Rhinolophus ferrumequinum: one gene and its partner. The protein of the gene in region 1 purifies or fractionates together with the protein of each later gene. This does not show direct contact. Links are inferred from orthologs where the notes say so. Each region holds a gene or a part of one and is shown in the gene's direction. Other genes may lie near its edges.

Evidence for each region.
Region 2: the proteins of RIOK1 (region 1) and COPRS purify together in Homo sapiens (affinity purification with mass spectrometry; 3 studies listed by BioGRID and IntAct, with this or other methods). This does not show direct contact. The link is inferred for Rhinolophus ferrumequinum from reciprocal best matches to the Homo sapiens genes RIOK1 and COPRS.

Annotation. Positions count from the first base shown.
Region 1 is NC_046292.1:86,548,837-86,559,899, reverse strand, and holds the start of RIOK1 (serine/threonine-protein kinase RIO1), read left to right. Parts: upstream 1-6,702; 5' UTR 6,703-6,919; coding exon 6,920-6,990; intron 6,991-10,005; coding exon 10,006-10,219; intron 10,220-11,063. UniProt on the Homo sapiens protein: Involved in the final steps of cytoplasmic maturation of the 40S ribosomal subunit. Involved in processing of 18S-E pre-rRNA to the mature 18S rRNA. Required for the recycling of NOB1 and PNO1 from the late 40S precursor.
Region 2 is NC_046304.1:20,363,685-20,373,607, reverse strand, and holds the start of COPRS (coordinator of PRMT5 and differentiation stimulator), read left to right. Parts: upstream 1-5,872; 5' UTR 5,873-5,994; coding exon 5,995-6,093; intron 6,094-8,453; coding exon 8,454-8,520; intron 8,521-9,923. Other genes in the region: UTP6 (U3 small nucleolar RNA-associated protein 6 homolog), read left to right, coding at 1,607-1,679, 2,445-2,602. UniProt on the Homo sapiens protein: Histone-binding protein required for histone H4 methyltransferase activity of PRMT5.

The DNA of each region.
Region 1 (11,063 bases):
ATCACATCTTATTACATTCTTAACTAAACTTACTACTTGAATGTACTGTTGGGCACTGCATGTCTCAAACCTTGGAGTCAGATTGGGCAAAGCCAACCCTCACTTCCTGTTCAACTTGCTTTTTATCACAGCATCATCCCAAACCCCAGCTTTGCAAATAAGATGTTATAGAAAGGATTGTAGTATGATTTTATATTGAAATAGTGAACTATCTCAAGCTAGTAGTGTGTGGGGATCCAACAGACATCCAGTACCACTGTTTCCTTCAAATTCCAAAATATCCCGCAGCACCCTGGGCAAATTGTGGATACACACTATTGTTCTGTTTCAAAATGTTATGTATATAGCATCATTATGTATATATATACGTGTATATACTGGGGGTGCCAAAAAATGTATATGCATGACTTGTATTCATCTTTTGTTACCAGTGTATATTGAGTATTACAGTTTTAATAGTTTTTTTTCCTTAAAATGTGTATACATTTTTTGGCACCCTCTGTATAAACATATACATGTACAATTTTATCTCTCTGTTTAATCTATATACAGAACATAAATGAAAAATTAGACTCAGAGGAAGGAGAAATATTAATAAATTAAGATATGCAGAGACGCCATCTCACTGGCAGAAAGTAGTAATGATTTGAAATGACTTCTGATGAAAGTGAAAGAAGTGCCAAAAAACTGCACTTGAACATTGAGAAGACAAAAATCATGAAGAAATACACAACTTTAACATAGACAATGAAGATGTCGGAATTGCTGTTAAAGATTTTGCTTATCTTGGTTCAGACATCAATTCAAACGGAGACTGAAGCCATGAAATCAAAAGAAAGCTGAGTCTTGAAGAGCAGCAATAGAATTAGGAAAGATCGCCAAGAGCAAAGATGTGTCATTAAGAGACCAAGGCTAAGATCGTCTACACGCTTGTATTCCCAACTTCTATGACCACATGCAAAAGCTGGACACTGTAGGCTGCATACAATAAAATACTTCATGTAAGTTTTCTTAAAAAAAGAATTTTTATCTAGGCTCTGGGTACATATCTATAAGTGTAGTCCTGGGTTATAGAAAATACATTATCTTTAACTTGACTAGATACTGCAAAATGATTGACTAGATACCTCCAAAGTGATTATACCAATTTATACTAATACCAGAGGCATAAGAGTTCCTTTGCTCTACATCCCTCCAACACATCAAACTGCTATATATGAAATGGCATTTTGTGGTATTTTTAATGTACATCCTTTCAGGTATTTAATGGTCTGGCAGGTTTCCTTTTCTTTTCTGCCTCTTAGACACTATTATGGATTGAATTGTGTTTCCTCAAAATTCACAAGTTGAAGGCTTAACCCCCAGTATCTTGAAACGTGACTGTAGTTGGAGATAGGGCCTTTCAGGAGGCAATTAAGGTTAGATGAGATCGTAAGGGTCAGGCCCAATGCACTATGACTGGTGTCCTTACAGGAAGAAGAGACACCAAGGAGGCAGAGAAACAGCCACGTGGACACAAGACGGCAGCATGTGAGAGGCCTCAGGAGAAACCAGTCAACTCTGAGGGCACCTTGATCTTGGACTTCCAGCCTCAAAAACTGTGAGAATATAAATTTGAATTGTTGAAGCCACCCAGTGTATGGTATTTCTTCACAGCAGCTCTAGCAAACTAATACATATATGTGTTTTTCTATTGTGTTATATGTATCTTTTTCTTATTGGAGTTCTTTATTTTGGATACTAATCCTTTGTTAATACGTGATATGTATCTTAGATTGTGGCTTGTTTTTTTACTTTGTTGATTATAATTTGATCACAGAAGTTTTTATTTTATTTTAATATAGTCAAATGTGTTGATTATAGTTTCTAGTTCTTGTTACTCCGAGCCTCACTTTTTTCATCTTTAAAATGGAGGTTAAAATAGCCCTTGTTTACAAAGGAAAAAAAGCTCTATTTCATGGGATTGTTTGTGGCTTAAAAGTAATAATGTGTATAAAATGCTTATCACAGTACGTGGCCATCATCATCATCATCATCATCATCACAAGATATAAAAAAAGTCTCAGTTTCTCTGTATGTTGCTAACAAAGAGGTAGATACTCACCACCTAACAGATCATCTAGTGTGCTATAAATTTCTTTGGAAAGTGTCAGTTTGGACTCATTTTCCCTTTTTATATTCTTTACTTCATTCTGTATTTATAATCAAATGGACATTAATATTAATTCCTCAAACAAACATCATAAGCCTCTTGTAAAGGTGTATGTACATTGCTATGCAATTTTTATTAGTATTTTTTGTTGCATGGGTAGAATGTGCTTCCTGCTATCTCTCCCCACTGTATATCTGACTTTCCCTTATTAAATAAGTGTCTTGCTATTTTAATATTCTGGTTTTTTTGGTAAGTCAAATCATGTTCCTATAAACATAGGGGTATGTGATAACCTACGTATCTCTTACTGACAATTCTTTGATGTTCGTTAAATCTGCTCTATACAACATTAGGGTAGTTGTTATTCATCTTTTAACATTGAAGATATATGAAACAGGATTCTAGTAATGGGGTGAAATCTAATTCTTATAAATATAAATATATAAAAATTCATGTAGGGTTTATTCTCAAAGTTAACTTCATGTAATCTAAGATGAAAGGGCTTATTAAGTAAATTAATAGTATAAATAAGACAGTAAGAAAAATATTTTAGATGTTTAAAGAAAACATTGGTTTAATCATGAGTAGTATACCAAATATGTGGACCTAAATGATACTCTAAAAAAGTTCATATCTCTCAGTAAAGTCAGCTGGTTACAAACCTCTATTCAATATGCTTTTTATAGCATTGTTCCACTTATTGAATGTATCTGAAGTACAGTAAGAACTGAATTATATTTTATAGCAATCTGTCTTTTAGACTTGTTGCTAATTCAGACCATTCCTCTCCTAATTAGATTTTAAAGCATCAAGAATAATATACTTGAAAAATAAAATAGCACTATTCACATGCATTGATGTTTAGACAGACTTCTGACTCCACTAATCATCAAATTTCAGAGATCACTTCTAACTCTAGTCTTCTATAACATTACTGTGTTTAACTGAAATATGCCTTTTGTTTCTTAGGTCTATAAATTTTTTATAAAGAATAAAATGGTCAGTGAAATCCAAGAGGGAGGACCTCCTTACGTAAATAATTTAAGACATTCATTCTTTATAATTCAGTACATAGTATCTTGGGCCCTGATTAACCTCATAATACTATGACCAAAATATTTTTTCAAAATGAAAAGTTTTTTATAATTATAAAAATGAATCTTGAACATTGTTTAAAAAAGAAAGTGAAAAACACTCAAAAGTCTTCTGCCTAGTGAGAAGCAATGTGACCATATTTCCAGGTCAACAAATATGTATCTGTATTATCATATTTAAGGTTTACATATCCACTGTACATATATACGATAATTTAACTAGTCCCCTACTGATGAAAATTTAGGTTGTTTCCAATGTTAGCTGTGAATTATTCTGCAAATATCTCACTTGTATACTTCCTGGGGCAAAATTAACAACAAAATGTGCAGTTAAGCTCTGGATTTCCTAGCATTAAACAGCCTTTTAGAAAGATTATGTGAATTTATGGGCTGAACCACATGAATTGTCAATATTTGTCTGGTTTTGAACTACAAAAAGGTAATTTTATGTGGCAAACCTAATAGATTCCTATTATTTCCCTACACTCTTGCTTAATAATTGTCAAATATTTAGAATGACATTCATGAAGATCCTGGGACATAAAAATCTCTTTTATTTTGTGACAAACAGCACTAGGAATTTTCATGCAGACAGGAAGTCATTTACATGGCACTGTCAATGTCATTATGAACATGTGAATCATTTGCATGCTGACATAGTGGAAAATGCTCTAGACCAGATGTCAGGCTCCTTGGGTTCTTGTCCTGACTCTGTGACTGAGTTGTTGCGGCAATGTCCCCTGGCTGTACTCATGGGACTTCACGAAGAGACTAGGAAGGGTCAGTTTTAATACTCTCTGTATGTAAAATTCTCACCCTTCTTTGTATACTAGTGGAACTGGGAAAACCAGACCCTGTGTTCCCGTCTTCTATGCTTCCGTTAGAGATTCTTTCATTGTTCCTAGTAATTTTGAAGACATTTCATATGGAAAACAATGTGAATGCTAAATACGTCTGTACCTCCCAGAACTTTTAAGTACTGCACACCTGAGGCAAGTCTCAAGTAGTACTGCTGGCTTCCATTTAGAAGGGAGAATTTGAGTGAGTTAAGTCTTGAGAAAGACTTCTGAATTCATGGCATCTGCTTCTGCCATGCTTTCTAATTTTTATGAAAAGCATCCACTTCAAAATGTACAGTATTGTATCTGAAGTGATGACCAAACTTTCTGATAGTCCTTGCTCCTAACTGTTGAGTGATGGAAGGTCTCTTTAAAAAACATAATTTTAATGTCTATTAGTATATGCAAACAGAAAACTCCCCCCCCACCCCCATCCTTCCTCACATTAAGAAAGCAGCAAAGTTCACTGTCCTAAATTTTAAAATGTCATTTGTCAAGTTATTGGAAAAATAAAAAATTTTAGCCTGAATATACCATGGTAACTTTGTATGGTAGTAATACTAATTCGGACAAAAGCAAATCAATATGTGTGGCTACTATCCAATAATTAACCTAAAAGATGTGGGTACTGAGGAGATGAAGGGATCTCTAAGTTACTTAATCAAAAAATATTCACAAAATATTACCAGATACCTACCATTAGGTTCCATCAACACTGTATTTCTATTTACTTGACAATCGCTATTAGAATACCTCATTATCAAGTTAAATCCAACAATGTAAATTAATTTTCCCTCACCTCCTAATGCCACATTCTCTCAGGCACTCGGGTTTCAAAACCTGGCGTCCTTCTATCTCATTATCCATGAGCTATTCAGTTACCAATTCCTGTCCATTTCTCTTTTAAAAATGTTTTTATAACTCATGCTTTCTTCCCATCCCTTATGTCAACACACTGGTCCATATTCTTGTGACCCCTCAAGTCTGTCAGGGGGATCGAGGTGGATAGGATGTCCAATCACGCTGACTTCAAATTCTTCTGCTTGACTTTCTAGGTCTTCCGTAGCCTGAACCCACATTACCTACCCAGTACTCCTGCTCAGCCTCACTTCTTTGCAAATAGATCGTGTTCCTTTTCGGTAGTCTGCCCTGGCAAGTGCTTCTCTCTCCTAAAACTTCTTTACCTACCCAATCATCTATTTTTTTAAAAGTTCCTACAAGGTCTTTAGTCTAAATCTCTATCTCACAATTCAGCACCTATTCATTTTACTGTTTTAATCTTCACCATTGTTTCAAGGGTATCAGTGTTTGTATTTACTGATTATACATACTTTGAGAAGTCCACTTATGGTTTTTCCATACACCCTACATCAAACAGACCAGTGTTGTCCAGAGTATTCACTAAATCCTGCACTCCAATGAATTATTTCTATTAAACCATCTCAATCTAGTCACTACCCATTTGCCTGGATTACTTTATTGAATTATTAAATTAATAATTTACTGAGGAATTTTTTTTTTCCAAATTTATGTCATCCTCAATATTAAAAAGCCACTGAGCTAAGCAGGCTATTCAGGATTGGAGATTGGCCCAACTTTATGCTTACCTTCTCCGTTTTCCAAACACATAAATGCTGTCTGTGTTGTGGTGATGGGGATCTGAAAAATCCTTGTTTTGCCTTTTCCAAATGCAAAAAACGCAAGGGCCTTATTTCTTAAATTTGCCTGTGAACCCAGAACTTCCAACTACACTTTTACAACTTTGTTCACACGGCCCCATCTGCCAGTTGTATATTTTTTTAAGTTAGGCTTACTGTTGCCATCTTTCATTCTGCCCTTACGAGATTTATATTAGATTTTTAAAATATTTATTGAAATGTTTCGAGAGATATTCCAGAGACACTCTAAAGCTGTTTTAAGATGGGTGTTAAAAGAGGTGTCCCTGGAGTTACTGGCCAAAACTCCAAGGTTTTGTTTTTAAATTCTTTTCAGTTGTATGACAAACTTCAATATTCTAAAAGCACTTAACTCATTTTCATCTCAAAACAATGCACCAAACTCTTTAAGTCGCAAAAGCGTGCTCACTTCCAGGGTCCATGCAGTTTCGTGGATCCACAATAAGGATTTCGTGCTTCCTCCCCGCGCAATAGGTTTTGTGGGAGGGAGAACACTTTTCAACCTTTTCCACGGATGGCTCTTAAAAACTCGCAGCTGGGATGCAGGCGCGCTGGAACGTCCCAGTGTGACGTCCGCCCGCCCGCGCCAGCCAATGTCGGCGGGGAAGCCTGCGGGGCTCCCGCGCTCCCCGCGGGCGCGGCCTAGGGGCTTCGAAGTCTCTCTGCCAGATTTGGGAAATTCTGTGGGTGTGAGCCCCCAGGCCAAACAATCTGTGGGCTGGCTGGCGCGTCCTTCTGCGGCAGGAAACACAAAGCGAGGTGCAGGAACTAAAACTCCAGATGGAACGGCCGGCGCTGGCTCAGCGAGAACAGCATCTCAAGGCCGCCTAACATTTCGATGTATCGCTGTCACGTACACTTCCGCGCAAGCTCCAAGCTCTCAACCCGGCACCGGGGCGGGACTTCCGGTAGGCCAAGCTTTCCGGTAGGGGCGGGGCCTCCGGTTGAGCGCAGGCCACAGTGCAAAGGCTGTGGATCCTAATTCCTCAAAGCACGTGGCGCTCACTTTTGGTGTGAGGGCTTCTGAGTGGTTTGCGAGGCGGCCATCTGCGGAGAGGCTGTTGGGTCGGCCGCACATAGAACCGTCTCTGTGCGGTTCCTGACCCATCGCTGGGCGGGCGGGCGGCCTTCGGTGGCGCTGAAACTGCGCTCTCGGTCATGGACTACCGGCGGCTGCTGATGAGTCGGGTAGTGCCCGGGCAGTTCGACGACGCGGATTCCTCCGACAGGTAGACGGCGGTGGAGTACACCGACTTTGTTGGGATTTTGCTCTCTCTTCCGCCACCGCTCCGTCGGGGAGTTAACACTTGTTTGTGGTTTAGGGGGAGACTGGTAATTCATCACTCGGGGCCTCTTTTTACAGCGTTTTGCGTCTTCGTCCATCCCAGCAGTGACTGTCGTCCCAGTTTACGGCAATCAATGACAGCCACTTGTCAAGGTAGTCCAGGGCTCCCAGGTTGGTTGGTTAGCATCGCTGAGAGGCAGAGATGGGGATAGCGATTGGGAAACAGGTTTTTGAGCTTTAATTACATTCAGTGTTCAAAAAATATGTGAGCACCTAATGTGTGCCAGGTTCTGCCCTCGGCGCTGGAGCTAGTGATGAACAAGACAAACTAAGTCCCTACTGTCATTGAATTTTACTTTCTACTTGGGAGGGTGGGTAGGCAATTGAGTACATAGCGGTATTTAAAAAACAAAAACCAGATAATAATATATACTGTGCAGATAATTAAAATCAGTTGATAGGCCAAGTTATGATTTGGTCAGGAAGGGGTTAAGTCCAGAACTGAACAAGAATAATGGGCTAACCTAGGGAAGAGCAGAGAGAAGAGCCATTCAGGAAGAGGGGACAGCACTTGCAAAGTCCCAGCAGTGAGATCCCTCTTGGCTGTAAAAGGAAGATTTAGAGGTAATTGTGCCTAGAGCACTGCAGAGGTACTTGAGAAGATTAGTGGGTAAACAATATATAAGTGAGAAGGGGCCAGATCGTATAGAGCCTTACAAATGATGGTAAGGAACTGAGATATTATTCTAGGTCTTATAGAAAGCCATAGGAAGGATTTTAGCAGGGAAATGACATCTGATTTACGATTTAAAGGAATTACTCTGCTATGGAGAGGATGGTTTTGGAGGGCAAGAGTGGAAGCCGTTCAAAAGTAATGAAGTAATTCAGTTCAAAGATGGTGAGAGTTAGAGATAGGACCATAGGGATATGTTTTGGAGGTAGAAGTGACAGTTTGGTGGTAGATTGCATGTGAGGTATGAAACAAAAGGAATTAAGGATAACTTTTACTTGAAAGCAGAATGAACCAGAATTATTTTGGAATTCCCCCCCCCCAAAAAAAATACGGTTTTTACTTTATGTTTACATTAAGGTTTCATTACATGGCCATTTTATTAAGCAATTGGAGATTTTTAGTAAATATATGTTGATGGCTTTCGATGTGTCAGATATAGTGTTAGTTGGTAGGGATATGTTAGTAAACCACTCTGACACAGAGATTCGCTCTAGCAGGGGAAACATATTAAATAATTAGACAAATGATTTGTATTAGAAAGTAGTACAAAGGAGAAGTGGGTGAAGAATAGGGTAGACTTCCCTGAGCAAGTGATAGTAAGCTAATACTGGAAGGATAAGTAGGATTTAGTCAGAGAAATGAGAAGGGCATTCCAGATTTATGTTTACAGCTGAGTATGCAAAAGACCTTAGGGAAGAAGTTAAGGGAAAAAAGAAACAGCCTATGTGACTGGTGCATAGTTAATGGTAATGAGTGTACACTGGTTTATTATCCATCACTGGATATTATAAAGGTAATCCAATAGATGTTGCCTCCGCCCTCGCCCCCCACCCCCACCCCGGCCTTGGGACTTTGGGCAATTTCTGGAGACATTTTTGTTTGTCACAACTGGGGATGGTAATACACTAGTGGCATCTGGTAGGTGGAGGCTAGAGATGCTGCTAAAAATCCTATAAGGTACAAGACAACCTCCCACAACAAAGAATTGTCCACCGAGGTTGAGAAGCCCTAGTACAATTGAAGGCATAACTTTAACATGCCACTCTAGGTTATTGGCAAATGAATGATCAATTTATGGATTATGTTTATAAAATCCTAGTAAATAGCAGCTGCCTAATGTTTGTTCTCTTCCCACCCATGTCCATGGAGATTTGGAGTCCTGTAAGCCATGGCTAATTAATAAGTCAGGATTGGGGCGCCGGTTAGCTCAGTTGGTTAGAACGCGGTGCTCTTAACAACAAGGTTGCGGGTTCCATCCCTACATGGGCCTTTGTAAGCTGCGCCCTCCACAACTAGATTGAAACAACTACTTGACTTGGAACTGATGGGTCCTGGAAAAACACACTTAAAAAAAAAATTCAGGATTGATCATCTGAATTTACTTAGACTCACATCTGACTTTTTAAGCTGGTAGTGCATATTATCAATTGTTTTATATGGTTTCTGACCTTGTTCTCCATATGAGAGGTCAAAACTAGTAGTACCTCTGTTGAATCTGACCTGCACACATATTTCGTTTGGCATGCACAGTATTTTGTTAAAATTGAATATGCCAGTTAACGGGGAGATTTCACACAAAAATCCAGATTTCTGGCTCTTGAAAAACTAAGAAGATATGGTAACACTGGGTCTGAATTCTCATATGGCAAAAACAGACCCTATCGTGCTCTCTCTACTTGGGGCTTGTCTCTAGGTTTGACAATCCCCACTTCTGTTTAATTATACCCAGCCTACTTCTCTCATTCGTGGTGCTTATAGTCACCATTCCTTGTGTAACACAAATCTATAATAGAGCTCCTTTTGTTGTAAAGTGGTGTTGAGTTCAAGGTAAGGCTGCTTTAGACTTATTCCCAAGTTTTGTCAGAAAATTTTTTTCCCCCTCTTAACACAGCTCTGAATGGTTTTCGTAGAGTCAGGTCTGGCGTACTGATCAGAGTTCAGTGCATTCAGCAGAGACAGTAACAATATAAATTCTGACTTCATGAATGCAGAGGTGGATTTAACCTGATACACCTCTTTAACAGGACCTGGAGAATAAGCAAACAACAAGTGGAACAACTCTGAAAAACAGGAGAACTTGGTGTTATGATGGAGTTTATTGGGAGATATGTTGAAAGGGAAACGTTTAGATTTATTGGCATAGATTAAGCTATTATGTCATAAATAAATTCATACGTAAGTCCAATTAGAGTATGTATAAACACACTAAAACATTGTTATTTCTAGTGAAAACATTGACTTGAAGACAATCAAAGAGGAAGATGGTGTTCTGTTTGAAGATCTTCAAAATAATGAGAAGATGGGTGAAGGTGAGATAGAAGAGGAGGAGGAGGAGGAGGAGGAGGAAGAAGATTATGATGATGATGATGGTTGGGACTGGGATGATGGAGTTGGAAAACTCACCAAGGGTTGTATGTCGATTGGAAGGAGTAACCCACAGGTATTTTATAAATGATTCTGTACATCTTTATGTTGTTTGCTTATGTCTTCTTGTATAAAGGGACTTTTTGTAGTTCTGGAATTGAGTAACAAAGATTTTCTTCAGGTTATAAGTAAATTTTAAAAGTTACTTAAATTGTCATAAGATAATGCACTTAAAAATCTGCATATGAAAAGACACAAACAGGCAGTTTTCTACAAATGGTTAAGAAACATAGAGAAAAAGTTCAAGTTTATTAGTAATTAAAGAAATGCAGATTAACTATGTAGAGATGGATGCCATTTTTTCCGCCTCTGAAACTAACATAGACACAAAATATATAACTGATGGTTCACTAAATACATACAGTTATTTGGAGGATAAACTGGTATGTGATAAAAGCTTTAAAAGCTTACAAAATAAACACTTTGACTCAGCAAGTCTTTTAGGAGTGTACCAAGACTTAGTTACAAGAATGATCCTCCAGTATTGTTTCTAGTAGAGAAATGTTGGAAACAACGTTGACTAAATTTACCATGGGGTTGGTTTGTATAATGGGATATTATGCAGCCATAAAATGGGTTACAGTGGAAGACTATATTCATGACATGGAGATATGTTCATGATCTACCATCTTGGACCACGTGCTAAGCACAAGGTAACAAGCCATGTAGAGCCTGCTCGCACTGAAATACCAAGTGTTCCAGAGCCATAGGATTAACGTGGTGCATCTTACTGGAGCATAAATGTTGTTGAAAGGATAGGGAGGGGGAAGAAAATCATAAATGTTTCTTTGAAAATTAAAACAGCTATATTGTGGACTAGAGTGCATGCGTTTTTAAAATAACCAAAGAAATTTCACACT
Region 2 (9,923 bases), on another chromosome or scaffold:
AGGAGAACAGGACTTTATTGGGGAACAGTGTGTACTTCCAAGACTTTTTCCAAGTCAAGTTGTTGTCCTTTCAATCTTAGTTGTGGAGGGTGCCGTTCAGCTTCAAGTTGTTGTCCTTTCAGTCTTAGTTGTGTCGGGTGCAGCTCAGCTCCAGGTCCAGTTGCCGTTGCTAGTTGCAGGGGGCGCTGCCCACCATCCCTTGCGTGAGTTGAACTGGCAGCCTTGTGGTTGAGAGGACGTGCTCCAACCAACTGAGCCATCTGGGAGCTCAGCGGCAGCTTAGCTCGAGGTGCCGTGTTCAATCTTAGTTGCAGGGGGCTCTGCCCACCATCCCTTGCGGGACTTGAGGAATTGAACTGGCAACCTTGTGGTTGAGAGCCCACTGGCCCATGTGGGAATCGAACTGGCAGCCTTCGGAGTTAGGAGCTTGGAGCTCTAACCGCCTGAGCCACCGGGCCGGCCTATTTTGGTGTTTTGATTGCTGTTTATTTCTTTGAATTTTGAAAAACAAGAGCAGTTCAACTCTTATTTTCATAGTTTTGATCATTGAGTGGGTAAATTGTCTGTTCTTGTCCTAAAGTGTAAGAGATAGTATAACATAATAATTAATAGCCAGGCTTTGGATCGATAACATAATAGTTATGTGTCTTGGGTAACTGACTTCATTCTAAGCCTTGGCATCCTTATCTTATAAAGGAGGTCATTGTACCTTTTCAGGGGTGTGAGGGTTATAAGACCAAAGGGAATACTGGGTAGAAAGGAATTTGTAGTACAATGGGCATTATGAGTCTTAACAAGGTGTGATTCTGGTTTTCATGCATATGTAAGCTATGAGGTTAAATTCACTTCTATGAAATAATAGTCTTAGTGAAGAAAAATTTGAATGAGGAAACGGTTATTTGACTATATAAAAGTAATTTTAAACTGAAGATGTTAGTCTGCCTTGAAAAGGAAACAAAAGAATACATTTAAATGGAAGTAGAGGTAAAGAATGAACATTCATTGATTGTAAAGTTAATACCAGCTGTTATTGCCTAGGTGCATAATTAATCAGCATTTTAATTTAATCCTTGTAGTTACTCTGAGATGTCATCCTTGTGTTATGAGTAAGGACACTTAGAAGGTCAGAGGGTTTAAAAAATTTGCTGAAGGTCGTATAACTAGTATTTATAAACTTTGCCTTGATACAAAATGTTCTAAGGTGGACATAGCTAATATGTGCCAGAGCCCAGATAACTCAAAAGGAAGAAATCTCTAGCCATAGGGAGTAGAATCTTCCGCATTTATTTATTTCAATCCTACTTCACCCTCAGAGCTTTCAAACATACTTTCCCGTGAAGCTGCCCATGTTCCTCCAAGAATTTATTAGGCTTTTTCCATGCTACTGTAGCAAAGTGCTTTTTATCACTGTTTGACACTTACTTCACTCTGGAAGTAAATGCATATGACTTCTCTCTGGGTAAGTTGAAAGCCAGGCTGTGTTCATCTTAAGCCACAACCCTCCTCTCCTTAAAATACCTAATAGATGATAGCTGTTAACAGTGTGGTTGAAATGAATTTATGACATTATAAATTAGGCTTAAGATTGTCTGATTATTTTTGTTAGGAATCCTGCAAGATGGCAAACTTAAGAGAATATTATGAGAGGGCTTTGAGAGAGTTTGGATCTACAGATTCTGGTAAGTAAACTTCAGTTATAGACATATAAGTCTGTTTGCATGTGTGGTCTGGAACTTTTCAGTACGGTTAGAACAGCGTTTCTTTACTGGGTCATGGCCCTTTTTGAGAATAAAATTTGTATCCTCCTACCTCTTCCCTTACTTTGTGCATAAATAAATACTTGCAGATGTAATTTTGCTTATAATTTCAAGTTCATAAGCTCAAGAGTCCATGGGTCTTCTATTAAGAACGCTGGGTTAGAGAAAGATTTGCTTGATTTGGTTCTCTAAAAAATATGGTATTTGTCAGGGAAAGGTTAATAATGTAGGTCAGAACAAAGAGGAGTGGGAATTACAGCAAAGGATAGTGGGACGTTAATTGACATTAGTTGTCATTGGCTATTGTCACATTGTCCACATTTATAGGCCTTGTAAAACATACTTCTGGGCGTAGGTATGTCATGTAAAATCTGTTTACTTAGGCACTCAAAAACTGACATGTATTTGTTAAACTCATTTAAAAAACAGATCTGATGAAATGAATGAAAATGGCATTTTTACTAACCCAAGCAAATTTTGTTAAGCATGGTAACAAGGTTACGGTGAACTCATTTTGATATACTCCAGTGTAAGGAAGCTGAGAGCGGTATTGTTTCACAGTTTTCTGTGGAAATAAGTTCCTTAGAAATCTTGTGTTAAATCGATATTAAATAATTAATCTTACTTAATAAAGCCTTGTCAGTTATATATTATATGTCCACAGTAATTTTTTTGTTCCCTTTAAAGATCTTTGGATGGATTATATAAAAGAAGAATTGAACCACCCTCTTGGTAGACCTGAGAACTGCGGACAAATCTACTGGCGAGCCATGAAAATGTTGCAGGGAGAGTCAGCAGAGGTGTTTGTAGCTAAACATGCTATGCATCAAGCCGGCCATTTGTGAAAAGAGGAAGAACAAGCCAACTTTGTGAAATAGTGTTGTAAGCCTTCTGGGTAGATTGGTGTTAGGAGTTCATCTACAATTTGCTTAGAGATGGCAGACAAGAAGGCTCTCTGATTTTGAGACATGCTTTAATTTTGTTAATGCATTATTTTTTAATTCCAGAAGAGAATTGCTGTTCAGTGGCCAGAGGCTACTTGTTGGGGCTGGATCTACTATAGATCCTGAATGTTGTTCAAAATAATGTGGAAATCATACAACTGAAGTTTCTTTTATTATCCCCGGGTTAAGGATGAATATTTCTAGACCTAGGGGCCAGTTAAAATGGAGGAGAAAGTACAGTTCTGTTAGTTTATTCTTCCCTTATTATAAAAGTATGCATGGTATGCATTTGTTGTAGAAAATATGGTGGGAGTAGAATAAGGAGAAGAAAATAAAAGCATCCTGTAATATCATCTGGAGTTAAACTCAGTAATTTGATTTCCTTTATCAGAATTGGATTTATCCTGTTAGAACATTTACTCATTCATTCATTGAGTGCCCATCATAAGCAGGAAGGAAGGGAAGCTTTTTTGGATGGAGGTAGGGGTTAGAGGAACAGAGCTGAATGTCTCTAAAGCTGGTTGAAGGAGCAGAGAAGGATGCTGGGTATTGGGGAAAAAGTTCTTTAAGAAGATCAAGATGTTATACAGGTATCTTCTATCTCTGGGACTGATCTGCAAAGTAGTGTTTATAGTGGGCAGGACTGCCAACAAAAGAAGGGCAGGGATAGGGAGCATATTAGAGAAAGGCTTCAGAGCCCATGATGGAGGATGGCTTGAAGCACAGAAGGGCATTCTGGGAGTAGGGGAGGCAGTTATTTGAATTTTATATCCTTTAACATAATGTTATAATGTCACTGGGAGAAGCATTCAGTACAGTTTATTGATGTTTCGCTTAATATTAGGTTGGTGCAAAAGTAATTGCGGTTTTTGCAATTTTCCAACTTTTTAAACTACAGTTACTTTTGCACCAACCTAATATTATGTTATTTTTCCATGTCATTAAAGCCTTAAACACATTTAATGAATTTAGAACATTCCCTGTAAAATTCATAACATTCTGTGGTTGGACCTTGTTATTGGTTGGACCTTGTTATTTCTAATTTTTTCTTACTATAAATGCTGTTAATGATTTTTGTAAATCTTTGTTCACATCCCTGGTTATTTCTGTAGGAGACTGACATCTGACAAAATTGTTGGATTAAAGGATATAACTTTTTAAAAGAATATATATATTGCCAATTTGTAATGTATAAAAAGACTTTCAAGAAATGTATGAAAATGTCAACACCTTTACCTGCGGTGGATACTTTACACACACACACACACACACACACACACATTTTTTTTTAAATTTTTATTGGGGAGTATTGGGGAACAGTGTTTTTTTCCCAGGACCCATCAGCTCCAAGTCAAGTCATTGTCCTTCAGTCTAGTTGTGGAGGGCGCAACTCAACTCCAAGTCTAGTTGCTGTTTTTCAATCTAGTTGTGGGGGGTGCGCAGCCCACTGGCCCATGTGGGAATCCAACCGGCAACCTTGGTGAGAGCTCATGCTCTAACCAACAGCCATCCGGCTGCCCCGGATATTATATTTTTTATTTATGCCATTTTAATAGGTTAAAAGTGATACATCATTGTTTTAATGTGTATTTCTTTGGCATTAATGAAATTAATGTGGTTTTCCTGGTTCTCTTTTCATGTTTTGATTTTTTTAAAACTTGTTTCTTACTAATTTATAAGAGTTTTTTTTTTGGGGGGTGGGAATATTGGGGAATAGTGTGTTTCTCCAGGGCCCATCAGCTCCAAGTCCAGTCATCGTTTTCAATCTTAGTTGCAGAGGGCGCAGCCCACCATCCCATGTAGGAATTGAACCGGCAACCTTGGTGTTATGAGCACTGTGCTCTAACCACTGAACAAACCATCCATCCCATTATTTGATTTAAAATAAAAATAATTTCCTCTTTTCCCTCTCCTTTAAGTCCCAGGAAGTTTAACATGCTAAACCCTTACATGGCATTTTTATTTTAGGAAAGAGATACATGTTGCATACAAGAGGAGAGGGAAGGATGGTGGTTGGCTTCTTATAGCAAGGCTATGAAGGTGGGTCCCCTGGGTCCCATCTGTATCTGGTTCTCACTGTTGCAGGTTATGAAAAGGCATCTAGCTAGTTCACCTAGAGCTGTACTGTTAGTATGGTAGTTTCTAGTTATGTATGGCCATTTAAACTTACTAAAATTAGCTTGATTTTTCATTTATACTGGCCACATGTTTACCATATTGGACAGCACAGAAAAATAGAACTTTTATTCCCGCCATCACAGAAGATTCTGTTGGACATTGTTGACCTAGATAGGTCCAATTAGATTTGGTGAAACTGACTCATGGGTCAGAACAGCACACATCAATTGATCACATTCTCTTCTCTGTAGGAAAGTCTATACGTTGTGAAAAAGAAAACACATGTATTGTTACACTAAAATTTTTCAAATGCGTTATGCAGTTTACAAAATATACATTCTTGGAAGGAGATGAAGGACTAGGTAGGCTCTCTAATCTCCCATAGATTGTCATAAGGTGGCCTGGTGAGCAAAGGACTCCCAGCTTCCTCCAGCTTTTCTGCTACTTAAATGTGAAGGTGAGCACGTTCAGGAAGTGTGGGGAAAGGCAGTGAAGGCAGTCTCTGCCTGTCTTCTGCCACCTCCACAAAGGAGCTTTTTTCAGGTCGGACCACCGCGAGACTCGGAACGCCTAGGGTTATTAATGACTGCCATAACATACAGTGTCCAGCACATTGTAGAAATTTTGTTCCTATGTCCTGGTTTCTAATGGATTCACTAAGAACTATCGTTAACTTAAGGGGGAGAATCACTGGGCTACTGAGTTGTCTCATTCATCTGTGGGTGAGTTATAGTCCAATTCCAGCCTGAGTTCTAGGGAAGTTTGTGAGATCAAGAGTGAAATGTGGTTGGTGAGCTACAATTGCACTAAAAGTTTTGAGAGCTGAGCTTTATACACTATCATGTAGACTCGGGTAACAGGAATTGGAGGTTTTTAAGCTGCGAAGGGATAACACTTGACATTCCAGACCAAGCTAGTCCCGCCTTGCCTGCACTAGCTGGTGCTACAAAAATCAGATTTTGGACCAGTAGGTGGGCTTTCGCTGTCGGGCGCGCCCCGCCCCTCTTGCGGCGCCCCGCCCCCGGCTTCCTCGTGACCCCCCTAGTCCCGCCCCCCCCTCGTGCAGGAGCACCCCCCCGGCTGATTGGCCCCTCTGTGGCGTATCCTCGGGCTGGCAGCCAGGCGGGCGCGTCACGTGGCCGATCAGCGTCCAGGGCACCGAGCAGCGGCCGGGCATGGACCCTCAGACCGCCGGGGCCCAGGCGTTGGGGACCGCGGAGTTGCCTCGGGGTCCGCCGTTGCCGTACGCGCGGAAGGCGTTCCCCAGCTCAGGGGTGAGCGCCGCGCTGGGGCCCGGCGCAGCCACCACCTGCGGCCGGGTCGGGAAGCTGCAGGCGCCGCGGAGCCGGGGAAGCGCCTCGGGCCCGCTTGGGGCCGCCCCGTGAACGCAGAGCGCCGTTTGGGCGCGTGCTCTAGCTGGAAACCGCTGGGCCGAGGGGCCGCGGGGTGTGGGGATGCGGGGCGGGGCACCTCGAAGGCGTGGGTGGACGCGCCGGCCGGGGAAGGAAGGCTGCGGGTCCCCGGGGTCGCCTCTGCGTACTTGCCAAATGGGAGGTGATGCTGATGACCGAGAGCTGGGGGCCTGGACAGGGGCCAGGGGAGGGCGCGCGAGGAGAGCGACTTTCCCTGAAGGACCTGTGTCTACTGGTGAGGATGTTCAGCTGACCCTGAGCACCCGATGATGTCTCATGCGCGCTCCTTTTCTAGTTAATGAAACCCAAAGGCCGGGTTTGACGCAGGTTTTCCAGAAACTTGTTTTCATTTGCGCTCCAGAAGGCTCCTGGTTTTTTAAAGACCATTGTTACAGTCACCACCTGCCCTTATTTTCAGTCAGTAATCTGTTAGATGGTGAGCTCGTCGAGGGTAGGAACCTTCTGTTCACTGCTGTTGACAGGGCACCTAGCGTAGTGCCTGGCACGGTAGACATGCTTTTTGGCTGGAGGAATGGCGTGCTTGTTGAAGCACCAAAGATACTACCTAACCAAAGTAAGAAGGAAAAAATGGAGTGATAGACTTACAAAGAAAGTTACTTTGGCGTGCAGATAGGATGAGCCTCGTTTTGTCAGGGCATAGCAGAAAAGTATGTGCACTACCTCTCCAAGGTGAGAGGGTGGTGGTGCTTGCAGAGGCCCGGAGATGTGGGAGTGCATGGCAAATGCTTGGGGACTTGGGCCTCAGAGCTTGGAGAGAGAAAGATGCTCAACAGGTTGATGATGGCTTGTGAGGGGGATGTGTGAATGCCATGGCTAATTCTGTACTCCTGCAGTGGAGCTGAAGGTTTTTGAGGCGAGCAGTGATTAACACTGGAAGGCTGGGCAGGGTGGGAGAGTGGGGAGACAGTTAGAGGTCTCAGGCAGTGGTCAAAGTGAGAGGTCCTGCAGTAGTGACCAGCGCTTGTCACTGACTACAGGAGGTGGAATCGACACTTTAAATGCAGGTATGACTTGGGGGCAGCCTGTTAGCTCAGTCGGTTAGAGTGCGATGCTCTTAACAACAAGGTTGCTGGTTCGATCCCCACCTGGGCCACTGTGAGCTGCACCCTCCACAACTAGATTGAAACAACTACTTGACTTGGAGCTGATGGGTCCTGGAAAAACACCCTTACATAAATAAAAGTTAGAAAAAAAAATCCAGGTATGACTAAACCATAAGCTAACTGGGGCCGGTGCCAAGTGCAGTATAGATGTAGCAACAAAGAAGGTGGATTTAAATTCAATGGTGCTAATGTTTTCATAAATGTTATCTCATCATAAGCCCCCTGCAAGGTCAAAACAGTCATTCTCAATTTCCAGAGAGGGAAACCCAGACACAGTGGTTGAAGTTCAAGGTCACACCCTGAATGAATGGCAGAGCTGGAATTGAAATCAGGTCTTTTCATGCAGGCTGTGGACATTCCTTGTTCCGTTTAGGAAGAGGTCTTACAGGTGATAGGATTTCAGGAACTTTTGAGTGATGAGAGCAGGGAAGCATATGGTTCGCTGTGGGGGAAGAAGATTTCCCTCATCGTCGCAGAGGAACTAAACCTCTGTTCCTCCCAGTGTATCAGCCAGGAGACAGAATTGGACAGAAAGAGCTGTTAGCTAGCTAAGAAGTTGTTAAGTAACTGACAAGTTAAAAAGTGAACATGGAGTAGGAACGGGCAAGAAACAGCTACCAACCCTAAGGAACCAAGGGATGAGGTTGGAATGGTTCAAATTTACATGCTTAGAGGAGCGGCTTTGGGGAGCTGAAATTCCACTCTCTGAGGAGAGGGCGCTGTCCAAGCTCTGAGCCTGGAGGAGGGGTCCTGAGAGCCTGGGCGTCAGACCTCTGAAGAGAGGGCTGGATGATGAGGCTGGCCCTGCAAGCTTTGGCAAACTGTAAGCTGGGTTCAGCAGCCGCTATGGGAAGACGCGCCAGCTGCCAGGGTGAAGTGTCGCTGGGGTAATGCCTGCAGGAACAGGAGGGAGCCAAGGCCCTTCTCCCGCTAGCTTCGCTGACTTCATAGGACAAAGCACAAATACGGGTTGCAGGGTCCCAGCCCCACTCAAATAGGGGGAGTATGGAAGGGTGGGGTTGCGTCTGAGAACCTAGAGCTTAATACTGGACTACCCCAGACATCCAAGTCCTGGGTAATTGTTTTTTCTTCCCGCAGGTTCGCTTTGCCCCAGACGACCACTCCGGTCAGGACAGCGAGATTGAGAAGGCCCCAGATGGACTAGGCAAGTAGATGGCAGAGACTGGGGTGGATGCCGGAAGAGACTGAGGGAGCGACAGGGACAGTTCCTATGTGTCTTGTCACCTTCTCTTCTAGCGAGTCCTCCTCTTCGCTGCCGCATTGCCTTTTCTGCCTAGGGTTTCAACAGTGCCCTTGTTTGGAAGCCCTACTGGAGCATCCCTAAGGGAAGTCCTGACCTTAGGTCCAAACCCGTCCTGTCTATGGAGAAAGACAGCTTAGGACAGCGGGAAGAATATAAGCTTTGGAGCCAGGCAAAATTGTTTTCACTGTCAGCTCCACGTCAAAGTCCTGGGCTCGAATCTTGTGGTCTTAGATGAATCACTTAATCCTTTCTTTAAAATGGGGATAATCATATTACCTCTCAGAGGTAATTGGTGAGAAGGATTTGGTGAGAGGATTTGGTGAGAGGATTTTGTTCTGAGGATTTGGTGAGAAGATGTAGAACTGTAATTGCCACTAGCTACTGGTGCTATTTAAATTTAAGTTAATTACAATAAAATGAAATGAAACAATTCAGATCCTGTTGCAGTAGCCATACGTCAAATGCTCGGCAGTTACACATGGCTAATGCTAGCCTGCCAGACAGCAGAGATGATAGAAAGTTCTGTTGGGTAGTACTGGCCTAGAGAAAGCACCAAGCACGTAAGTATAGTCATGACAACTAACACTTACTGAGTACTCACTCTGTGCCAGGCACAATTCTAAGTGTTTATTTTCCTTTTTTTTTTTTTTTAAAAAAAACAAACAAACTCAACAATACTGCCTCCATTTTACAGATGTGGAAACTAAGGCACTGAGTAAATTTCAAAAAAATTTGTGGTAAAAGACACATACAATTTGCCACTTAATGATTTTAAAGCATACAGTTCAGTGGCATTTAGCACAGTTACAATTGTGCTGTATAACCACCACCACTTTTATTTAGTTCCAGAACATTTTCATCACCCCAAAAGGAACCCTTGTGCCCTGTAAGTAGTCACACTCCATTCCCCACTTCCTTGTGGCCCTGGTGACCACTACTCTGCTTTCTGTCTCTATGGGTTTACCTATGCTGGACAGGCAAATGTGAGTTGCATATAAATGGAATCATACGCCATGTGGCCTTCTGTGTCTGGCTTCTTTCACTCAGTATATTTTCAAGGTTCGTTCATGTAGCATGTATCAATGCAGGCATACCCTGCAGATATTGTGGGTTCGGTTCCAGGCCACCATAATAAAGCAAGTATCCCAATAAAGCAAGTCATAACCTTTTTGCTGATGGAGGGTCTTGCCTTCAGTTTGCAAAAGAAAACCCCACAACATCTGTGAAGTGCAATAAAACGAAGCATGCCTATACTTCATTCCTTTTTTATGGCTGAATAATTCTGTCATGTATATATCACATTT